Astyanax mexicanus: one gene and its partners. The protein of the gene in region 3 binds, or shares a complex with, the protein of the main gene of each other region. Links are inferred from orthologs where the notes say so. Each region holds a gene or a part of one and is shown on either strand. Other genes may lie near its edges. The genes, in order: virma, mettl3 and rbm15b.

Region 1 (7,078 bases), on a different chromosome or scaffold from region 3:
GTTTATAAATGTCTATTGTGATGGACAACAGGTCTCAATCAGCAATAGATAGATAGATAGATACTTTATTGATCCCCGAGGGGAAACATAAAAAATAAAAGAAACAACATGATGTCCACTGTAATGGATGTAGGGTCTGAAAGGGTTATGCCTGTGTGATGGTTAAAAGAGACAAACCAACAGTTTTAGGTTTCTGTCAGTGTTGAGGTTTCTGTCACTGTTGACATGCTAATATAGTAGCTTTAGTTGGCTGACTACAATTATGTTTATGGTGTAAAAAAAAATGTAAATTCTTAAAAACGAGTGTACCTATAGTCTTCATCATCATCTTCTCAACATGGTCTTTAAATACATAAATGAGAAGATAAATAATAATCTCAAAGCGAATAAACCATCTCTCACCTTTTTAGTGACTAAATTGAGGACCTGCCAGACTAGCTGCACCGCCTCGGTTTCGTCTGACCCCAGCAGCTCGCCGCTCGCCCCGCACGTCGTGGTGAAGAACAGCACCAAGTTCTCTGGATTTACCGTCATTTTTAAAAGAGAAACAGTGGAAATAAAAATAACTCTAAGCGTCAGAAAGGTGAAGAAATCCCCAGCCACCGACTCCAGGTGACGGAAGTGAAGTGAGGGCCCCACACACCCCACACCTATGGACAGGTAAACTCAGCGGTTTCGCTCCTTATTTCCCCCGTTTATCTCTGCTGAAGCGATGCTGAAGCGATGCTGAAGCGAATGTCCGCCAGTCCGGGAGTAATGGCTGCTCGCCTGTGCTCGTTTTTGTGTGTGATCTGCCTTGCCCTACCTGGCCACCGCCCACGTGACACAGGTGAAAAACACACCTGGCCGCCGCGAGCGCCCTCTTATTGGTGCTCGGAAACAGGGACGTGGCACAGCACTGGAGGAAAATATACATAAACCCCAACAACACACAGTGAATTAATACCACCACTGAGAAATACAATATATGGGGTAATACTGTATACAGGAGAATAGAGGGGATCTCTATCTGTAGGCCTGCAGTAGGCCTATGGCTAAAACCCAGTGAACCAGTGCCTGTAGCTGAACTAATGACTTACTACAGCATCGCAATATAATTCAGTTAAAATGTGAAACTCATATATAGATGTATTACACACAGAGTGATCTATTTTTTGTGTTTATTTATTTTATTGTCGATGATTATGACTTACAGCCAATAAAACCCCAAAAATCAGTATCTCAGAAGATTATTATATAAAACATATATAGAATATTATATAAAAACAAATTTGTACTTTTGGCAGAGTGGACTGCTGGAAAATGAAATTCACATCTCCACAAAAGTTGTCAGCAGAGGGAAGCATGACGTGCTGTAAGATTTTCACACAGTGGATCAACACCAGCAGATGACATGATTCTCCAAACCATCACTGACCATCAGTAAATTTTGTAGATAGATAGATAGATTTATTTTTATTTTTATTTATCCCGAAGGAAATTTAGGCACAAAGTTTAATTTTTAAAAGTCCACTACAATATATGGGGAATTCACTCTTCACTAATCTAATTTTATTGTGCCAGAGTGATTTAATTGGAGTAAATTACTTACTAAATTTGAGGATAAAATGTGTGTAAAATAATTAGAAAAGGTGTAAATTTCTGTGGCTGGGCACAACACCCACGGTGAGACTGTATTAATAATGCCCAGTTTGACTTGTGTTTCTGTCTTCAGCAGAGCTTCAGCCCTCCTTGGAATGTAGTTATACCTGTTTTGAGCAATTTCAAAAGGAAAATTTGGCCATTCTTCCAGAAGAACTACCTGTCATGCTGAATAGTGGCAGCATCTAATCTGGGTTAAAAGTTCCAACAGACACTCTCCGCAAAAAACAAAAAACAAAAAAAAAACAACAGAAAAAATCATACAGGAAAATTGCATAAGATGACTCCTCTCTTCATCAAGAGTTTTGTTTGCAACAATAGAAAATGATCCACAGATCTGTAGTTCACACACAGGAGTACCCAATGTGAGTACTATTAACACATATTGCTAATTGGAAAATAGAGTGAAAGCAAAAAAAAAAGACTGTCATTTTAATAGAATGGAAGAAATATGATGTAAATGTAAAACAACTGCTGTTAATAATGCTTTATCTGTAGTATCTATAATTTAAAATGGTCCACAGATCTGTAGTACATATACAGCAGTATCCAGTGTGTGTACTATAGATTAAAACATGATGTATTCATTTAATATAAAAATGTAAATTACTTCCAAAAATGTGAATGGAAAAAGCAGATGTAAAACAATATTTTAAAAAATGCTGTTAATCAACAGTAAGATTTTCTGCCTTTCACAGTTCATATTAATTACAGTACACAGTATAAGTCATGTATGTGTTACAATGGTTAAGAAAAAGATGGCAAACAGACATTGAATCAGTGTTCACTTTTCAATTGCTAATGCATGGAAACAACACTGACCTCAAAACTCGGAATTGATTTATTTGTGCACACTGATTTTACGTCGTATGGTTTTATATTTGTGGTTTTTATTAATATTTACTTACATTAAATATGTATATTTTGTTTGTATTCTATTCTTAAATAATATAATAATCAAATAATATATTCTAAATTAATAATATTATTATTTGTGCGGAGCACCTTCCACCTAAAAGCATTACTGTGAATGGAGATTCAGAGCCCTAACAATATAAAACCTTTAAATGAACTTTGATTCAATGTCAGAATTTCAACCTTAACCATTAGGCCTATTAGTTTATGTTAAATAAAGGTTGTTTTTAAGATGTTTTTTACATCATCAACCTTAAAATATGTAATACAACCAAAATAGTGTTAGTTTGCCATATTTTATGAGATTGGCTTTTAAATGGTTTAAAATAGCTTTTGCTGCTATATTACCCTTTGTTATACTACAATATAGTTTATGACAGTGTTATACAGTATCCAAGTGGGCAAATCATAATCTCATATACCTCCCTATCCCCTTTAAATTGCACCATGTTACCGATAAATGACTTCCCCAATGAAGAAGATCACTAAATGTAAAATATTGATTATTAAACCTTGTACTTAAAACTCTTTAGTCTACAGAGCCCCTACTGCAAGAGACTAATAAATCATTTTAAGATTAAATAAAAAGAAACCCATTTACTCATCATTTTCTTACAAAAGATTATCCTTGAATTGGAGCTTTGGTGTAATATTCAGTCTTGTTAATGGGCATTAATTTACAGAAAAGAAAGTTTTATTATTGTGTGGCTACGACTTAATTATCTCATTCACACGCTTTAATTATCTTGTTCCCACACATTAGGATCTCGTTCTCACGCCTTAATTGTCTTAATATGTTGTGGCCACAAATTATTATTATTTTTTAACATGATGTCACCTTAGGGGCTCCATATTCACAAATGTATCTGAGCTGTATCTGTGTGTAATGTGAACAAATTTGTCGCTGAAACGTCTCACATGCGCACATTGATACGTGTATAAACGTCGCCTTTTTCACCAACAACAAAACTCATATTTGAGAGATGACTTGTAGCTTTATAAAGGTGAAATGGATGAGTAAGCAGCTCATATGTGGAGCATCTTTTGCTGCAGTGGAGAAACAGTAAACAGCTGGTCTGAAATACATGCTCAGGTTGAGGAGGTGATAAAAGAGTAGGCTGCTTGCTTTTGCTGTTTTTTCAGCTATTGCTGCTCAGCTGCACCAAGAGATGTTTGGGTAAGAGAGAAAAGCACGTAGCGCATGCGTAAAAGCAAAAAGACACATCTCGCATGTTCATGAATCGGGTATGTAACCGATTTAGGACCACATATGAAAGTGACTTAAATCTGATTTGAATTTGGCACGTTCACACAGCCATGAAAACAATTGGATCTGAGCCACATTGACCAAATATCGGATTTGAGTCACTTCAGCCAGGTTATGTGAACGAACCCTAGTCACTAGTATGTACGCAGCGTGGGAGTCCTTAGCACCGCCCTACCTAGTGCACTAAGTAGGCCGCATGTAGCAAACTGAGATGTACCCGGATGTTGCTAGTGATCCCCGGAGCTGACTTTTCCCCGGCGGATGTTCAAATGTGACGGAGAAACATGGCGGGGGATCCCTCAATGGAGCTTCTGTTTTTAGACACGTTTAAACACCAGAGCGCCGAGGTAATGATCACGGCTTATTCCTTATTAACGCGGCTCACTTCGGGCACCGCGCTCACCTCTAAATACCTGGTTTTAGGGGTAAACGGGCCTGTGCTTTCTCTCAGCTAGCGGGCGGGCTAACCGGCTGTGTTAGCCTAGCCTACCTAAGCTAAGCTAATCTAGCCTGCAGCCCTATTCCTTACATAGATAAATAGCTTTACTAGGTTTAGCTATATGTTTACTTAGTCTGAGACGTTATTAAGAGGGTATTTAAATGTCTGAAATTATAATTACACTCTGTGTAAAGCTATTTCTGTAGAAAAGTAATATAACTTGCAGCCAGAGAGAGAGAGAGAGAGAGAGAGAGAGAGAGAGAAATTAGCCAAATAAGTTAGCCAGTGTAGGTTAGCTAACATAGCTTACACGATATCCCCTAAGTTAAGTTAACGTAAGTTGCATGTTTAAGTTCGATTATTCAAAAAGCCATTATAATGCATTATGAAGCTTGCTAGCAGTATAACTGTGTTTTTAACATTGAGCGCATGGCTTTTTGTGGTCTTCAGCCATTACCACAACCACATCACTGATGCAGGTGAAAAAAAAACACAGCCAAGCTGCACCCAAAGCTAGCTAAGTAGATGAACCCATTTAAGTTACTGCATTGTTTCTCAGCATTTTCTTAGATCTACACCTTTTTTGTGTGTTTTCCCTGCTCCCAACACTCCTGAGCTAACTTCATCTCATTCACACCTCAGCATTGGGTGTGTTAAGGTGGGGGAAACAGCTAAATGTGCAGGGCATGAGAAATCCTGATCCACTGTAACTCAACTCCTAAAAATTAACCATTAGTAGCGTATTCATTTTAGTTCAGTATGTAGGGGTCAAGCATGTATAACGTACTAGAGACCCAGTCTTAAGTTAAAGTACAAAGTGCTCTATCTAAAAAAAGTGGTATTAAGTATTCAACATTTTCTGTACTCAAGTACTGCAAGTAATTTATTTAAAATATGCTACACAAGAACTGAAAGTAAATGTACATTACTGTGTTATGCAATTATTAACATCATTAACGTTATTAAAGCAGTGGAAAGTTCTCAGAGTGAAAGGCAGAACAGGAGCACGCAAGGTCTTCTTATAAGATCAGCTTGATCGCTTGATTCACTCTGTGATAAGGCAGCTTAATCAAAGTGCCATCTACCTTTGAAGGAATGATTCATAACCGCTTTAAAATTTTAATAAGTAGCGATGCAGCACATTTATTAGAGTATGAATCTAAATGTTCTTCCATTTATGCACAGTATGGGTGGGCGATATGGCTCTAAAATAATATCACGATATTCATGTTTTTTTTTTTTTACAATAACGATACTTTTGACGATATGACAAAACACTGAATTAGAAAAAATATTTAGAAGTTTATTATTGCTTGCAATATGATATGGCTAACTGAGATATTAAAAAAATAATTTAATCAGATTTGTGAAAGAAGTCAACGATCCAGAATGTCATGATACTAATAATGCACTAACATTATTTCCATATTCAGGATTAAAGTAAAAAAAATTATACTGGACAGATCTAATCTGTCTCTAGTAGATATATAATAGTAAATGAGATCAGTGTGACTTTTTCTTTTGCTAAAAACAGAAAGAAGTAGTACTCTGATGTGATAATTAGGGATGGGTGATGTGGCACGATATTTAATATCATAGGGTATAATATCGTTCACAATATATAAAACTATTGGCGATATCATGTACGATACGATATGGCACACCGCTAACGCACAGTATGGGCAAATCCAGAGGGCCAGATTGCTGTACAGTATTCTTGCTTTACCTGCTCATGCAAACCTTATTTAACTCACCTGTTAATTGTCTGGTTTAGTAGACCTGTTATAGCAGGGAAATCAGGAAACTGTGCTTTACACACACAGCATTAAAGTAACATTTAGCTATTTAATTTGCAACCATTGGTAATACAAATGTGCAAATGCAGACACACCCAGAGAGCTTGTCTATTCCATGTATAGAAACTATAGAGACTCCCTGGAGCAGATTAACATAAACATATTGGCACCATGCCTACTACCAGGCATGGGTTTCACAGGGGAAAATCCCCCTTGTGTTTTTAGAAATTATTGTGCTCCATCCAGTACATTTCCATGAGTTGAGGGTAAATTTAAGCGGTGATGGTTATCCAGAGTTTACAACAACACGTTTATCATTGAATAAAGGCCCTTAAAATCAATATCGGTCATCACAAATGAAATCACAGCAATCCTCCAAAAAAAGTCTTCCCTGCAAAAAAACAATTGCAGGATAAACTTATTAATACCATAGATTTCAGACAAAACCGTAAATGAGCATGTGTCCAAATACTTTTGTCCATACAGTATATTCATGATTAGAATGTGGGAGAAATGTGAATGGCTTCATATCTGTACAATCTGATGTATAGAAACAATGTGCTGTTCTCTTGAGTTTTAATGATGCTGGTATCTAGGGCTGGCCCGAATAGCGTTTTTTGAGCTCCGGATATTCGGCACTGATTCGAAGCGAATATTCGAATATTCGTTTTTAAAAAAAGAGGTAAAAAAAATAAATAAAAAAAAGCAAATCACGGCCCCTTTAATCCACTGAAAAATGTTCAATTTGCTCTGACCGACGAGACATATTCACCCCGGATTTTTGGTGTTTTTATCCCCCATATTTTTTCTGTGTTTTTAGCTCAGATTTCTTTGTGTTTTCATCCCGGAATTTCTGCTGCCCCACACGCGGCTTATCCGCTGCGTAAGCAGGCTAGGAGGCTGCTGCTGCACGGTTTCTCCGCTGCGCAAGCCAGCCCAGTAAATTGCTGTTTGTGTTTTCACACTTAGGCTATTTGCTTAAAAAAACAAACAAAAAAAAAACGTTTGTTCAGGAAGTAT
Region 2 (7,947 bases), on a different chromosome or scaffold from region 3:
GCATAAGCTGGGTGGGTGTTTGGGTGCGTGTCGGGATGAAAGTCAGGGTGGGTGGGTTGGAGGGGGATATCTCAGTAGGGAAAAACTTTGATAAGGTCACATAAAAAAGTGTCATTAGAAAAAAGTGCATTAGAGAGATCCAACCCTACTAATTGCTACTAGTTAAGTCATAAGGGTGTAAAGATTAATCGGGAAAAGAAAATCCTAATTCAAAATTAAAGTAATGAAAAAAAAATAATAAAAAAATGTATTATATATACAAATAGCTCTCTACAAATATTTTGCATATTTTACAAAAAAATTACAATATGAAAAAATGTCATAGAAGAACCATTTTTGGCTCCATGACATTTTTTGTTATGTAACAAACATTCAGAAGACCTGTTGTACCTTGTTTTGTACCATGTCAGATCACTTTTAGTGTTCATTATAAGCAGCTCAGCATTATGTTAATGAGGTCCTGCTACCAGTGGCCCTACCTTTTCAAAGCACACACTCCAACGCACAGTTCCAACAGAACAATGCCATTGTCAGATGCATTGCCAGACCTATCTCTGATTAAAAACAAGCAGGATACTATTTTATGCGCTAGCAACACTCCATCCCTACCACAAAATCTGGAGGAACTGTGTGAAAATATTTAAGCTGCATAGGTTTGATTATACCATTAAGAACATCTATAACTCCATGCTGAGATGTATGTTACAGTATGTTGCAGTACACATGCGTTACACAATACTTCTGTATGTGCAGGTCAATAAATATGACTGAGAGTTGCCCGTATCAGTATAAATTTTAGATGGCTTATTGTTTCTGTTATCCCTTATCTTTGTTCTGAATAGCACTGCAATCAGACATTTCCTTCCAAATATTTATTTAAGAAGGATGCATATAGCAGAGATGTGTACATGTGAGAAACCTTTTATAGATCTAAAGAACATCCACTTGATGTAAATGTTCTTTAACAATTCAAAGGCTTTGTTTACACAGTCACACACACAACGTCTATTATAAACATGGATCTTTACTGAACTGAATGTGGTTCTTCTAGCACATTTGTTTTTCGAAATGCACTGCTGTACTGCCTATTGTTTAAAGGATGAAATTGTTTGTTACTATTTTATTAAGTCCATTTTTATTTTTTAATGTAAAATATATATTAATAATTAATTTGAATTATTTATTTAATTATTAAAGGTATTTTTAGAATACTCAATCACGTATGTAATTAAAAGGCACAGAAGAGCAATACCTTCTGTGAAAGGTTCTTCATTAGCCATCCTTCTGAAGTGACCATTTCAAACCACTGACAAATCTACCCAGGACCCCAGTCCTGAAGCTCTAATCAGTGGTGCTAATGGCTGCTGAGCCAAGGAGTGCACTGACGTAGAGCTCTGTTAGGGCCACAAGTGCGTCACTTGTGATTAAGTGCAAAGTATGTTTGCATGTCTTGCTCTCTGCATGAGGTCCTTGTTACACCAAGCTGCTAATGACGAGAAGTGACTCAAATGTTAATTGGCCTGCATGCCCACTGCTCCCTCAATAAGGATCCATCCTGTACTCTTGCCAGCTGACTGCAAGGACACGCGCACGCTGACATATACTGCCGTACACCTATCACGACCTGGTATTTACTGAGTAAAGATGCTAAAAGGAAGACATTCATGAACTAATGCACTCAGCACTCAGCAAAAGTACAAAAGATTAAGAGGGGGTACTGGTACATTAGTTTTTTTAACCAGCACTCCATACTCAGTTTATTTTAAATCTTTTATAGAGTTTAAAGATCTTTAAATGTAATAAGAGATAATATTTTATTAAATGATGTTAAATAATTGTGACATATACCAGACCTCAAACTTTACCAGGCTAATGTTTTGTAAAAAGGTACAACAATTCAATTTAATTAATTCTTTTTTATATATTAATATTTTATATATTTTTGCAACAAAAGCTATACCTAGTCACAAAACAGAGAAAAAACAGGTCTACGCCTCTTATGAGCAGCACCACAGGGATACCAATTATTGTGGTGACAACAGTGGCAAGGAAACGCTCCCTTACATTAAGAGAAAGATACCTTAGGAGGAACCAAGACTCAGTCAGAGGAACCCATCCCCCTCTGGTCGACCCGCAATGTACAAACAAATAACAAAACAAAAACAACAGTACAGAGAGATAATGTGGTGCTATAACTAATGTAAAAATGGTTACTGAGTCATGAATGTTAAAAAAGGTGATGGGCACATAATGTATAATGTAAAGCTATAGATAATGTAGGAACAGGTACTGATTTATGAGTGTGAAAAAGCACATAATGATGGCACATAATCAATAATGGAGAGATATGGCTAATGTAGAAATTAGTACAAAAATGTAGTGTTAATTCCTGCCCCAACTCCGTAGCCGAATGTCTGGCTATGGTTTCCCCCTTTACCCTTTTTTACCATGTTTTTCTTAGATTTTGATGGATTACAAGCATGATCAATCTGACCAAGCTAGGAAACCAATCTATTGGCCTGACCAGCATCACCAAGTTATTGAACTGGCATTACCCAGATGTTTGACCAGCATCACCAAGCTCATTAATTAGCATGACCAGCAAGATTGATAGATCTGATAGATCAGCATCTTCATGATTTTGTTAGTCAATCAAATAGTGAGATTGTGAAAATGTTTCTGGGCATCTCTTGTAATTAATTAATTTAACTACTTTAGGTTGCATCCATTGCTAAAACAGATGTAAAAAGTAATGCACACACAAAAAAAGAATTGGCAATATCGAATTGGACTATCCAGAGCAGAGAAATATGAACCTTTTGCAACCATGCCTAATGCCAAGTGATGCCTAGAAGAGTATAAATCTCATAACACCTCATTATCACCTGGATCTGGATTGTCCAGTTGCCATTTTTTTTACACTAAACTGTGGGGCAGTGGAACTATGTTTTCTGGAATGATGGCACTTCATCCAGTACTTTTGAGTGTTTTGGTGAGTTTTGGGTGAGGAAGGCTAGAGATTATTTAACATCCCGACCTCACTGATTGCAGTTCTCACAGCAGTGCACAAAAATCTAGTACAAAGCCTTCCAAGGACAGTAGAGATAGTTTTAGTAACAGATTAAATTAGATTTACAGATCAGCAGGTGTCCCACTACTTTTGTCCATATAGTTTAGCTAACCACGGCTGATCAGATTGTTAGATTGTTGCAGATTGTTTTGCACTGATCTAAATCAACAAATTATGTTATGAGTTTCTCTAGCCAACCACGACATAAGGTGCTAGGATACACTATACACTATGCTGCCACTATGCTGGTTTCAATCACTCCCATGCTCACAGGTGTATAATATCAAACACCTAGGCATGCAGACTGCTTCCAAAACATCTTATATTTAAAGACAACTGTCAGTGCTATTATAACAAAATAAAAGCAGCTGGGAACGAAAGCAACTTGCTCTATTAAAGCACAGAGGTCTCCAAATTTCACCACAGACCTTCAAATTGCATGTAGTTTCAGATTGACTCAAGAACAGAATAGTGTAGAGAGCTTTATGGAATGGATTTGCATGGCCGAGCAGCTCCATGCAAGCTTCACCTCAAACTGTCACTGGAGCCAGGAAGGGAACAACTAAACATTTTCATATTTAATATAAAAGTAATTTCCTAAAATACCTTTACATAGCAAAGCTACTTGGATGCTGTTTGTCAAATATATCTTGTGAAGATTCTTATTATAAAGATGCTTATAATCCACAATTGCGGAAAAAATGCTTTAACCCTCCTATTATATTTGGGGCAAATGTGACCCCATTCTGTGTTTAACGTCTCTGAAAAAATGATTGACATTAGTTTTGTGATTCATAGGTATTGTCTTTTCTTAGTTTGATAAGGACAAAAAGTAAAACAAAAAATGTTTAATATTTTTTACATTTTAATGTTTTAATGTTTTATTAAGGCTGTTTCATATTCATAAAACATAAGAAATATAAATATTTTACACACATTTGTGTGGTAATAATGTTTAGGTCACTATGACATTCAGTTTTATCATCTAATAATTAATTCATAATTAATCGCTATTAATTGATCAAATCAACATAAAGTAACTGGCAAATAAAATGTGCTAACATGTTTATTAAAATGCAATTATAATATTTTTTTAAATTAAATTGGGGTTTAAATTGCTGTGAAACTGGAAATAAAGTGTTAGTTAATTTGAGGATAGCAGGAGGATTAATATAACACTGATGATAATTGCTTAGGAAAATACAGTATAACAGAATGAACTATAATAATGTATGTTTTATCCACTAGGGCTATCAGCCACTAGATGGCCACCTTGCGTTTTTTGAATTCAAATCAAACCACAGTTTGTAAACTTTATAAACAGCTTTTAAAATAAAAAAAAAAATGATAAAGAATGATCAGTTTTATTGGTTTGTACGAGAAAAAAGAAACATAAAAAGCACTTACTATTTTAAAAAGATATAGTTACAAAAGTCACAGTTTTTAAAATATTTTGAAATAATTTAAATACATATTAAATAAACCATTAAATAAAATACATTAAGATTAATATTTAAACACTGGGCCTGGGCAGAAAAGGTTTATTCGTGTGTTTAATTTTAGCGACTAAATTAAACACATTTTAAAACATTTTTTTAGTCTTTTTTTAGTCTTTTTAAAGGTATAACATATTAATTGGTTTATGTTTTATATATAGCCTTTTAAATGTAATGTTTAGGGATGAATTCCACACCTGTTCAGAATGCTGTGAGAATTTTACCACCCGGGACTCTTATGCGATGGTTTTTGTACCGGTTGTGGGTTTCCGCTGCAGACCGGAAGGCGGTCACGCTGTGTTGTTTAGCTTAAGTTGGCGGCTGTAACGTTAAAGCGGGATTTAAAGAGTTTTAAAGCATTGAAACAGCTTTAATATAGATATTTAACCCTTTAACATGTCGGATACGTGGAGCAGCATCCAGGCTCACAAGAAGCAGCTGGATTCTCTGCGGGAGAGGCTTCAGAGGAGGAGGAAAGACCCCACACAGCTCGCTATCGGTACTGTGTTTACAGTTTACAGCCTGTGCTGAGTTAAACTACACTACTAACTGTCTGTTTGCGCTTAACTCTCAGTTTCTGTCCAGTTTACCGCGTGAATGTGTTCAGCTTGCTTTAGTTCATTTAAAGATACAGTTTAAATCCATGTAGAATGACTGGAAGTTTTACAGCTACAGCAGTAGCTAGAAGCTAGACCCCTGCAAGGGTCTTAAGTCTTTAGAAGAAAAAAATAAGCATTTTTTCCCCTGCAGATTAATCTATTTTTAACGTTTATTTCTTTCATTGATTATTATGACTTACAGCCAATAAAAACCCAAAAATCAGTGTCTGATATAAATTAGAATATCATATATGACCAATTGTTACTTGTGGTAGTGTGGGCAGTGTGCCAAGTCCTGCTGGTAAATGAAATCTGCATTTCCATAAAAGTTGTCAGCACAAGTGCTGTAAAATCTCGTAGTAGACACTGCAATGACTTTGGACTTGATATAACACAGTAGACCAACCCCAGCAGATGTGATGTCTCTCCAAACCATCATTGACTATCAGCAAATGTTGCATTTAATTTAGGAATCAAGAGACCAGAGTCTTGAGGAAAAGTGGAGATACACACAGTCCAAGCTGCTTGAGGTCTAGTGTGAAGTTTCCACAATCAGTGATGGTTTGGAGAGACATGTCATCTGCTGGTGTTGGTCCACTGTGTGATATCAAGTTCAAAGTCAGCACTGATGAACAGTACTATAGAATTCTACAAACAGTAAAAATAAAAAAAAAACTATTAAATATGCACTAAATATGCAGAGAGCATAATGTAGTCAGCAGTCTTTGTTTATTTCTGTGTCTTTCCTAACAGATGCTGGAGGATCTGATGGAGCAGCACCAAGGAGTGAAAGTCCTGCACCAGCTGTTCAAACTCCTTCGCAAGTAGAGGTGGAGCGTCCACCTGATCCTGAATTAGAGAAAAAACTTTTAGCATACCTGTCCGAACTGGGCCTGTCGCTGCCCACCGATTCTCTCACCATTACTGACCAGCTCAACTCTGTATGTAAAAAGATTGAGTTTTTTATGTTTAAAGTTTGAAAGACTGTATTTTCTGTAATTTGATATTCATTTATGTACTCTAACTCTCCTCTATTTCCTATTGTCTCTCTCAGTCTGAAGCACCAGTAACTCACACATGCATCCAGAGTCTTCTACTGAAATTTTCTGCTCAAGAGTTGATTGAAGTCAAGCAGCCAACCATCACTACTTCATCCTCTGGTCCCTCGTCCACCTTAGTCATCTCTGTAGATCACACCAAACTATGGGCCATGATTGGCAGTTCCACCTCCCAACCTCAGAGAACTGGTGTCAAAAGAAAAGGCGATGATGCCATTCATCAAAAAAGGGTCCCTGGCTCCTCACCTTCAATTCAGGCTCCACCTTCACCGCCCAAGACATCATCTATATCTTTGGCTGCTCCCTCCAGTTCACAGACTGGGACTTCTGATTGGAAGTTAGGAGGTGCTGGAGGAGGGGCTGAGAAAAAAGGTCGAACCAATAAGGGGAAGGCATCTCATATGGATATGGAGATCGAGAGCCTGTTGAGCCAGCAGTCAACCAAAGAACAGCAAAGCAAAAAGGTAGCTTCCTACATCTTAACAACCATCTTTCAAAATGTAATATTTATTACCCACATCTCAGTGCTCTTTTGTCAATCAACAAATTGTCTATGGCATAAATCTTGGAGATTTACCAGCTATGAATAAAATAATAATCACAACCAATCATTTAAATGCATGGTGATTATGTCTAACAAAATGTACCACAAATTAATTTGTACGACTGAGAAGAGCACATTTTACTGTCCCTAATACTAAGTGGAATTTTACACTCTGTATTGTATATGTAATGTATTGTATTAATATACCATATATTGTTATTAAATATCCTTGTATTAATACCTGGTTTAACCAAAGGTTAAACACAATATACAAACATCATATTGAATAGGCCCAGAAATGCATGCAATGAAGTATGACATTTGAAATGTCACATGAATATGATATTTTCTGAAATCTGCTGATTCAAGGTTGATATGTCCAATAACAGACAAAGTAAAACTGATTAACTATATGTGTGTATCTGTGTATGATAGGTGAGCAGGGAGATCCTTGAGCTGTTGAACACCAGCTCAGCGAGGGAGCAGTCCATCGTGGAGAAGTTCCGTTCACGAGGTCGAGCACAGGTGCAGGAGTTCTGTGATCATGGGACTAAAGAGGAGTGTATGCGTTATGGAGATACTCCGCAGCCATGTAACAAGCTGCATTTCAGGTAGGTCCACTACACCAGCATCTCTAAACATAAAGTCATATTCTCTGCTGCAATTATATATTTATACAATTTTGTTGTGTTCAGTTTATGGCTATTTGTGTAGGGCAAGATTTGGTATGAGGAAAAACTCTGCAAGTACGTGCAGAAACATTAAAAGAACATTTCTATAAACATATGAAAATTATGATTAAATATATATAATATATTAAACATGTTCAGATCAGATCCAGGTCAGACAGAAGAGACACCCATAAATATGTTGAAATATGTAAAAGAAACTATATAAAACACATTGTGAATGTGATCCTATAAGGGTAGCAGTTTGGGTTAAGTATATAAAGATTTCATCAGCTAAGTCAAGGATCAGTTTCTGAAATAATCATATAACTTCCGTAGGCGAATCATCAACAAGCACACAGACGAGAGCTTGGGTGACTGCTCCTTTTTGAACACCTGCTTCCATATGGACACCTGTAAATATGTGCACTATGAGATTGACGCCCCCCCTGAGATTGAAAGTGGGACCCTGGGGCCTCAGGCAGGGGCCACTGAACTGGGTCTGCATTCTG
Region 3 (7,903 bases):
TATTTTTTGTTTAAACAGCGAATCGCAGCAGCTTACACATTCAAAATAGATAAAGCTTTGGAAAAAAAAATATTTATGAATTACACTATTACGTAGTTTATCAAAAGTCAGGAAAGTTTGTCAAATATAGAAAAATCAGATCAAATACCAGCAGGACCAGAACTGGGAAACACTGAAATTTACAGATTTTTGAGAAGACAGTGGTATTCTTTTAAGTTTGGACCTGTGTGTGTGTGTTTTAAACAGCACTGCACTATAAAAGGACTATTAAAGTGAATCTTTAACGACCACAATGACCAAGTGATCCTCCTCTATTTTGCCCAAAGTTTTAAGAGCAGTCTGAAGGTACTGTTGGGAGAACTCACAGGGGGGGAAGGCGTACAGCATGCCCCCCGTTTCACGTTCCTTGGGTCCTCCGATTGGCAGACTGATCACGCCAGCTGCCTGCTTGTTTCTGAGGTAGGTGACCAGGTTGCGCAGAAGGCGTTTCTGGATTCCAGGTTCCAGAGGAGGCGAGTCCTGGTCCATGGGGCCCTGGACGGCCAGGAGGACGGTGTAGCCGTCGGGGCTGCCCAGCTTGATGCGGCGGGTCACCTCATCCAGCTTGGGCTGGTCCAGTCGGAGTCGCTGGGCTATCTTGAGCTGTGTGATCTTGGCACTGCCCGCTTGGTTGTCTTTCATGAGGGAAAGGAAGAAGCTGGCCCCTCCTTCCAGGATGTGCATGTTGGTGGGGAAGCTGCTGTTTTTCAGCACCAGGGAGCCGTGCCACACTCTGCTGATGGTCTGGGCGTATTCTGAGAGCGTGCTGGGCTTTTTGGGCTCGCTCTTGAACTTTTTCACCTGCTGATCTAAGTCTGCATCACTTTTGCGGTGGTTCCGCTCATGTTCTCCTCCTTTACGATGCTTGTTTGAATCCTCCTGCAACAGCAACTGAGCTCGCTCGTCTCCGGACTGGCGGCTGCTGTCAGGTGTGTGGCTTTGGGGCTCTGAGGTGGAGTCAGGAAGGCGGCCACGTGCCCGGTCTGGACTGTCGTCTGGGGTTGCAGGGGCACCTGCTCTCACCCTGGTGCGCCCCCTGTCCTCATACAGCCTGTCACTTGGACTGATGCTGCGACTTCGGCTCCGACGCTTACGTCGTTCGTCCAAACCTTTGCGATCAGAGTCTCTGTCCTTGGTCCATCGCTCCCTGCTGCGACTGCGGGCTCGTCCCCGCCCAAAAGCTTCTGTGTTAGTTCTGCGTTCCACGCTTTTAGGAGGACTCCATTCACGTTCACGCTCTCGTTCCCTCTCTGCGAAAAGTGGGTGGGAGGGTGAACGAGCACGAGCCCTAAGTTCTCTCTCCAAGCTGCGGTGGCGGCTGTAACCTTCGCTAAGTGGCTCAAAAGGTGGCGGCAAAGGAAGAGGCAGCTGGTACTGCTGCGGGTATGCTCGTACTTCCTCAGCTTTGGCAAAGTCCACTCGTAGCCTGCGGTTTGGGCCACCCAGTGGGAATCCACGCATCTGGGCACATGCTGCTTGGGCTGCATCCAGGCTTTCATAGTGGATGTAGGCAAAATTGTCCCCCTTTACATAGTCAATGGTACGGATGCTCCCAAAGCGATCAAACTCTCTAGCCAAGGCGGCCAGAGACACATTCGGGCCTAAGCCGCCCACCCAAAGGCGTGTGGTGGGATTGGCCTTGCCGTATCCAATTTTCACCTGGTTGCCCCCGAACACTCGTCCCTGCATGGCTACCTTGGCCCTGTGAGCCATGTCCAGGTTCTGGAATTTAATAAAAGCATATGCACACCCTTGCCCACGCGCTGGCCGCTTTATCACCACCTCCTCGATGACGCCGTACTTCTCAAAGCCCTGCCTGAGCTCTGCTTCAGACACGTTGTGATCCAGGTTGCCGATGAACAAGTTCCGAGTCGCTCTCTGATCGTCCTCTGGTTTCAGGTCCTCCTCCACCTGCAGCTGCAACGCCAGTGCCCGGCTCCTCTCCTCCAAAGCGCTGTAGTAGTCCAGGAGGCGCTCCCTCTCCCTGGCGAGCCCAACGACACCCTCAGCATAGTGCCTGGCCCGGGTATCGCGGATGGCACTGCCACCTGGCCCTGGCGAGAGCGAGCGCTGCCTATAGAGGTAGGCAGGGTGTAGCAAGGGAGCGTAGGCCACATCAGGAGGCGTGCAGCTGCGGCGGCGGACGTACACAGGCTCGACCCGAAGTGCCCGGTCCCCCAGCACCAGGCGGGTCCTGGCGTGGCGTGCTTCCCGTGCGCTCTCTACTTGCCTGAAGTTCACATAGGCTACCCGTCCAAGCTCAGGTGTGTGGGAGAGCTTTACACTGACATCTCCGAACTTCTTGAACTTGTGGAAGAGCTCATCCTCTATGTGCTCATCTGACAGGTGGGAGCCTAGGTTGCTGACCAGCAGGGTTTTGTACTCGAGGCCACTGCTGCTGCTGCTACTGCTGCCACCGCCACTGCCACTACTGCTGCCACCACTGCCAGCCCCGCCCCCAGCCACCCGGCCACCGAGCATCTCGGCGCCTGCAGACCCTTTACCTTTCCCACCTGGTCTCAAGCCCGAGCGCGCGGAAAGGGCACCGGCGTCGTGGTGCAGCCGATGGTGCGCGCTGCTCTCTCCTCCGCGCGCCTCACGTTTTCCATAGCAACCGCTCCGAGTGTCCGCGAGCAGCAGCGCGAGCGGCGGCGACGGTAGGAGGGCACCGGGAGGCGCGGCGACCGCGGAGGCGATGATGGCATCCTCTCCTCGTCTGCCCTCGCGCTCGCGGTCTCGCTCCCGTTCGCGCTCTCTCTCGCGCTCCCGGATCCGTTTGGCGGCAGCTCGCGCCGGGCTCGTGTCCCGCTCGGCCTGCCGCTTCATCCTCCTCCCTGCAAACTTTTGGCGGCGGAGGAAAAAAAACCGGGGCGACACCAAACAGCTCCGGTCCACACCGCGCGCTCACGCCGCGCGAGCGATGGGCGTCACGCGCGTTCCGCCGGACGCGGAGAGAGATACGGGGACGGAGCTTCAGCGGGAAAACATCAAACAAACGCGCCGAAAACACCAGCATCACAGAAGCTGCACCCGCGCCGCCATCTTGGACAATGGGAGCGTGCGCGCGCGCCGCCGTTGGTAGGAGGAGCACAGACGCACGTGACTCGGACGTCACTGGGATACGTCCCAAATCGCATCCTCATAGCCTTAATAGTGTGCCTAAGCAGTGGCCTAGATGGCGATTCTCAGGGTTTAACGCATTATGAAGCACATGGTTCATTTGGTAGTTTACATTTATTATTAATTAGGAAACTTGCAAATAGATTAATTTATAACATAAATATTTAAAGCTTGTATTTTCTGAAAAATGTCCCATATCATATGACCTCTTTTGAATTGTGCAAATATTCTATATAAATACATATCTATAAACATGTTTATTCAGACTTTATATAATATATACACTTATTGACTAGTTTTCGACAAATAAAAATGCCATAAATCCATATATATTTTGAAGTTTTTCAATGTTATATGAATCCCTTTTCTTTTTTTAATGTTTTTTTTTTGTTTTGTTTTTATTTATTTATTTATTTTACATTGTACGTTTTTTTTATATTTTTGTAATTATGGTTGTTTGTTACCTAAGTATGGATTGTATGTTGTGCAAAAAAACAAAAAACAAACCAAAGCACGGGGTTAAATTGGTTAGTAGTTTAAATGTATGTATTATTAATGATGAAGTACGCAAACAAATACATGAATAAAATAAAAACATTTAAAGCTTTTGATTCCTGACCAGTATCACGTCAATTTATTTAAGTAAACTTTAAAATATACTAATTTAAATGAAATACAGTTGTGGTCAAAAGTTTACATACACTTGTAAAAAAACATAATGTTATGGCTGTCTTGAGTTTTCAATAAGTTCTACAACTCTTATTTTTCTGTGATAGAGTGATCGGAACACATACATGTTTGTCACAAAAAACAGTCATAAAATTTGGTTCTTTCATAAATTTATTATGGGTCTGCTGAAAATGTCACCAAATCTGCTGGGTCAAAAATATACATACAGCAACATTACTATTTGGTTACATGTCCCTTGGCCATTTTCACGGCAACTAGGCGCTTTTGGTAGCCATCCACAAGCTCCTGGCAAGCTTCAGGTCGAATGTTTGACCACTCTTCTTGACAGAATTGGTGCAGTTCAGCTAAATGTGATGGTTTTCTTGCATGAACCCGTTTCTTTAGCACTGTCCACATGTTCTCAATGGGGTTTAAGTCAGGACTTTGGGAAGGCCATTCTAAAACCTTAATTCTAGCCTGGTTTAGCCATTCCTTTACCACTTTTGATGTGTGTTTTGGGTCATTGTCTTGTTGGAACACCCAACTGCGCCCAAGACCCAACCTTCGGGCTGATGGTTTTAAGTTTTCCTGCAGAATTTGGAGGTAATCCTCCTTCTTCATTATCCCATTTACTTTCTGCAAAGAACCAGTTCCACTGGCAGCAAAACATCCCCAGAGCGTAATACTACCACCACCATGCTTGACAGTAGGCATGGTGTTCCTGGGATTAAAGGCCTCACCTTTTCTCCTCCAAACATATTGCTGGGTGTTGTGGCCAAACAGCTCAATTTTTGTTTCGTCTGACCAGAGAACTTTCCTCCAGAAGGTTTTATCTTTGTCCATGTGATCAGCAGCAAACTTCAGCCGAGTCTTAAGGTGCCTTTTCTGGAGCAAGGGCTTCTTTCTTGCACGGCAGCCTCTCAGTCCATGGCGATGTAAAACACGCTTGACTGTGGAGACTGACACCTGTGTTCCATCAGCTTCCAAATCCTTGCAGACCTGCTTCTTGGTGATTCTTGGTTGACTCTTGACCATCCTGACCAATCTCCTCTCGGCAGCATGTGATAGCTTGCGTTTTCTTCCTGATCGTGGCAGTGACACAACTGTTCCATGCACTTTATACTTGCGTATAATTGTCTGCACAGTTGCTCTTGGGACCTGTAGCTGCTTTGAAATGGCTCCAAGTGACTTCCCTGACTTGTTCAAGTCAATAATTCGCTTTTTCAGATCCACACTGAGTTCCTTTGACTTTCCCATTGTAGCTTTTGTAGCTGAGTCTAATCACTGGGTCAAATGAGCCCTATTTAAATGGGCTCATGAGAAGTCAACAGCTGTAGTCAATCAGAATCACTTACAAGAAGTGAAGAGGCCATGACATGAAGCTAATTTGATTGACACAACTCGCTACATCACCAAAATTGACAAATTTTGTTGCTGTATGTATATTTTTGACCCAGCAGATTTGGTGACATTTTCAGCAGACCCATAATAAATTTATGAAAGAACCAAATTTTATGACTGTTTTTTGTGACAAACATGTATGTGTTCCGATCACTCTATCACAGAAAAATAAGAGTTGTAGAACTTATTGAAAACTCAAGACAGCCATAACATTATGTTTTTTTACAAGTGTATGTAAACTTTTGACCACAACTGTAAATATAGACATCAAAAGTACGCATCCCAAATCGCACACTCGTAGCCTTAATAGTGTGCCTAAGTACAGGGCCTAGATGTCGATTTTCAGGATCTGATGTATTATAGGACATATGGTTAGTTAATATTGTTAATCTTATTAAATATGAAAATTATTGACACACATTTATGAAAAATTTAAAAACAAATATCAGCATTTGGCCATGTCCCCAAAAATGACTTCTGACTTAATTATTTGAGTACACTGTTAAAGTGCCAGTTTTAAAGGTAAATTTATGATATTTGGCATCCCACACTCATAGCCTAAATAGTGAGCCTACGTAGTGGCCTAGATGGTGATTCTTGTCATTTGATTCATTTAGAGGAATATATTAATGTGATGAGAGTTAGGGCTGCACAATATAGTGTTTTAGCATCAGTATTGCAATGTGCACAAGCATAATAGTCACCTTGCAGGAGAGGAAATGTCAAATATTGTCAGATCTGCACAATATTATTAATTATGCTTATGGATTGGCACCATCGTATATTACAGATTATATTATATTACAGATTTCAATTAATGTTGTTTTAATAATTGATTCATTTTTTATTTACTTATTTCAATACTTCATAGCTAAAACCTTTTTAATCTTATTTTACATTTGATTTTCTTTGCCCCTTTTGTAGTTTCAGTGAATTTCTAAATAACTTATTTTTTAGTACTCAATTTTTATATTTTCTTATTCTAGAGAGTGCAATACCAATATTGTGCAGCCCTAATATGTTCTATACTTGTACAATAAAACAAAATGACTTCTAATACACTAAAATAACTATATTCTTTCAATATCTTCCTTTCAAAGGGTATTGTTGGTGATCACCAAAATCCTGGAAGTGGGAACTACAGTGGATAGAGAGCACGTTACACAGGGGATCAGTCTCCAGGCTTCTTTCAGATTAAGGTATGTGTGGAAGTAGTCAGGGCATTTAAACCTTGCAAATATTAAAGCTTAAGCTTGTCATTTTATATAATAACTTCAAGGTTTCTATATAATTATCAATATTTGTTGCATCTCAAACTGTAAAAATCAAAAGCTAATGCTACACTTCTTTAGCCTATTAGTACATATTAAGTTTACACCACTTTAAACCGGTTCAAACACCTTATTTCAGAAAGAATCCAAACATTCAGGATCAAAACCAGAGCAGATAAAAACAGGAGCACACCACTAATATCTGCCGTTACACAAGAAACAAGAATTGGGTTCATTTTCTTTTTTTAATGAAAAAGTATAGTACAACTGTAATAAACATGTTTTACAGTGAAGTCCATTTGAATTGAACCACGTTTAGTAGATGGATCACCTTAATCATCCTCCTCAACTTCGGTCTGTTTTAATATAATAATAAATCAAATCATATAAAATAAAAAAGCCCTGTCCCTTTATCAAAAATAAAGAAACTACAGTGTTTTGTAATATCACCCCAAATCTATACACCATATCTCTGTATAAACATTCACTACACTGGTATGAATGCTGTATCAAAGTTAAGTGCACTAAAAATAAAAGGGAAAATAAAGTTTAAAGTGAGGCTGGATGTAAAGCGAGGCTTCGGCCCAAAGCTGAAACATACACAGGTCTGAACATTTTTATTTCTTTATTTTTTTTACTTTTTAGGCATGGGTCACCAATCCACCTTTTTCTTTAGATCTTTTGGTTTTTCGAGTTTTTAGCATTATCCGGATGGGATTAGTTAATATTCTATGTCTTTTATGGGGGGGTTTTATCCTCTGTGATTTTATTCCCATCCAGAACGATCATGTACGTGTTCTAAGATAAAAAATTACAGGCTGAATTATCTACTGTTTTTCTCTGAACTCCGTGCCCCTCCGGTAATTTTAGTCCCGTCCGGACACACATCTGAGTTTCGTCTCTTCGTGTTTAATGAAATAGCTATTTGTCCACTGTAGGGCACCGTAATTACACTTTGAACGCCCCACGGTTTCCACGCAGAACCGCGTTAAAAACACAACAGCGACAACTCACTGGTCCTCCTGTTTGTTTTTTCAATTGCAGTCCGGATGCAGGAGTTTTATCACTGAATAAAAGTGTGAAATATTTTTACAGACGCCCCCCTGAGAAACTAATCCCGTCCAGATAGAGCTTTTGCTTTAGTTGGATCTTATTGGTGTTTTCCACTGCGTAGTATTTTACCGACTCTACTTTTTGGTAACTGGTTTGTTTCTCAATACCATCATCACTACGCCATCTTCAGAGCAGAGAGACAGCACAGGAAGGTTTATACTACTAAATCAGGTCAATTTAGAGTCTACAATATAGCCTACACAAGTGGCTCATGCTATTGTGAGCATTTATACTTGTGCATTTGTGTTTCTGCCTCATTTTTCTCCCAAATTTTAGCTATGCAGAATATC

Evidence for each region.
Region 1: rbm15b (region 3) and virma share a complex: the UniProt entries of both Homo sapiens proteins name them as parts of the WMM complex. The link is inferred for Astyanax mexicanus from reciprocal best matches to the Homo sapiens genes RBM15B and VIRMA.
Region 2: rbm15b (region 3) and mettl3 share a complex: the UniProt entries of both Homo sapiens proteins name them as parts of the WMM complex. The link is inferred for Astyanax mexicanus from reciprocal best matches to the Homo sapiens genes RBM15B and METTL3.

Annotation. Positions count from the first base shown.
Region 1 is NC_064408.1:109,657,523-109,664,600, forward strand, and holds the start of virma (protein virilizer homolog), read left to right. Parts: upstream 1-4,052; 5' UTR 4,053-4,107; coding exon 4,108-4,170; intron 4,171-7,078. Other genes in the region: esrp1 (epithelial splicing regulatory protein 1), read right to left, coding at 403-534. UniProt on the Homo sapiens protein: Associated component of the WMM complex, a complex that mediates N6-methyladenosine (m6A) methylation of RNAs, a modification that plays a role in the efficiency of mRNA splicing and RNA processing.
Region 2 is NC_064415.1:18,430,212-18,438,158, reverse strand, and holds the start of mettl3 (N6-adenosine-methyltransferase subunit METTL3), read left to right. Parts: upstream 1-4,828; 5' UTR 4,829-4,962; coding exon 4,963-5,065; intron 5,066-5,918; coding exon 5,919-6,106; intron 6,107-6,219; coding exon 6,220-6,687; intron 6,688-7,202; coding exon 7,203-7,378; intron 7,379-7,774; coding exon 7,775-7,947. UniProt on the Homo sapiens protein: The METTL3-METTL14 heterodimer forms a N6-methyltransferase complex that methylates adenosine residues at the N(6) position of some RNAs and regulates various processes such as the circadian clock, differentiation of embryonic and hematopoietic stem cells, cortical neurogenesis, response to DNA damage, differentiation of T-cells and primary miRNA processing.
Region 3 is NC_064431.1:1,414,954-1,422,856, reverse strand, and holds the start of rbm15b (putative RNA-binding protein 15B), read right to left. Parts: upstream 3,113-7,903; 5' UTR 2,866-3,112; coding exon 268-2,865; 3' UTR 1-267. UniProt on the Homo sapiens protein: RNA-binding protein that acts as a key regulator of N6-methyladenosine (m6A) methylation of RNAs, thereby regulating different processes, such as alternative splicing of mRNAs and X chromosome inactivation mediated by Xist RNA.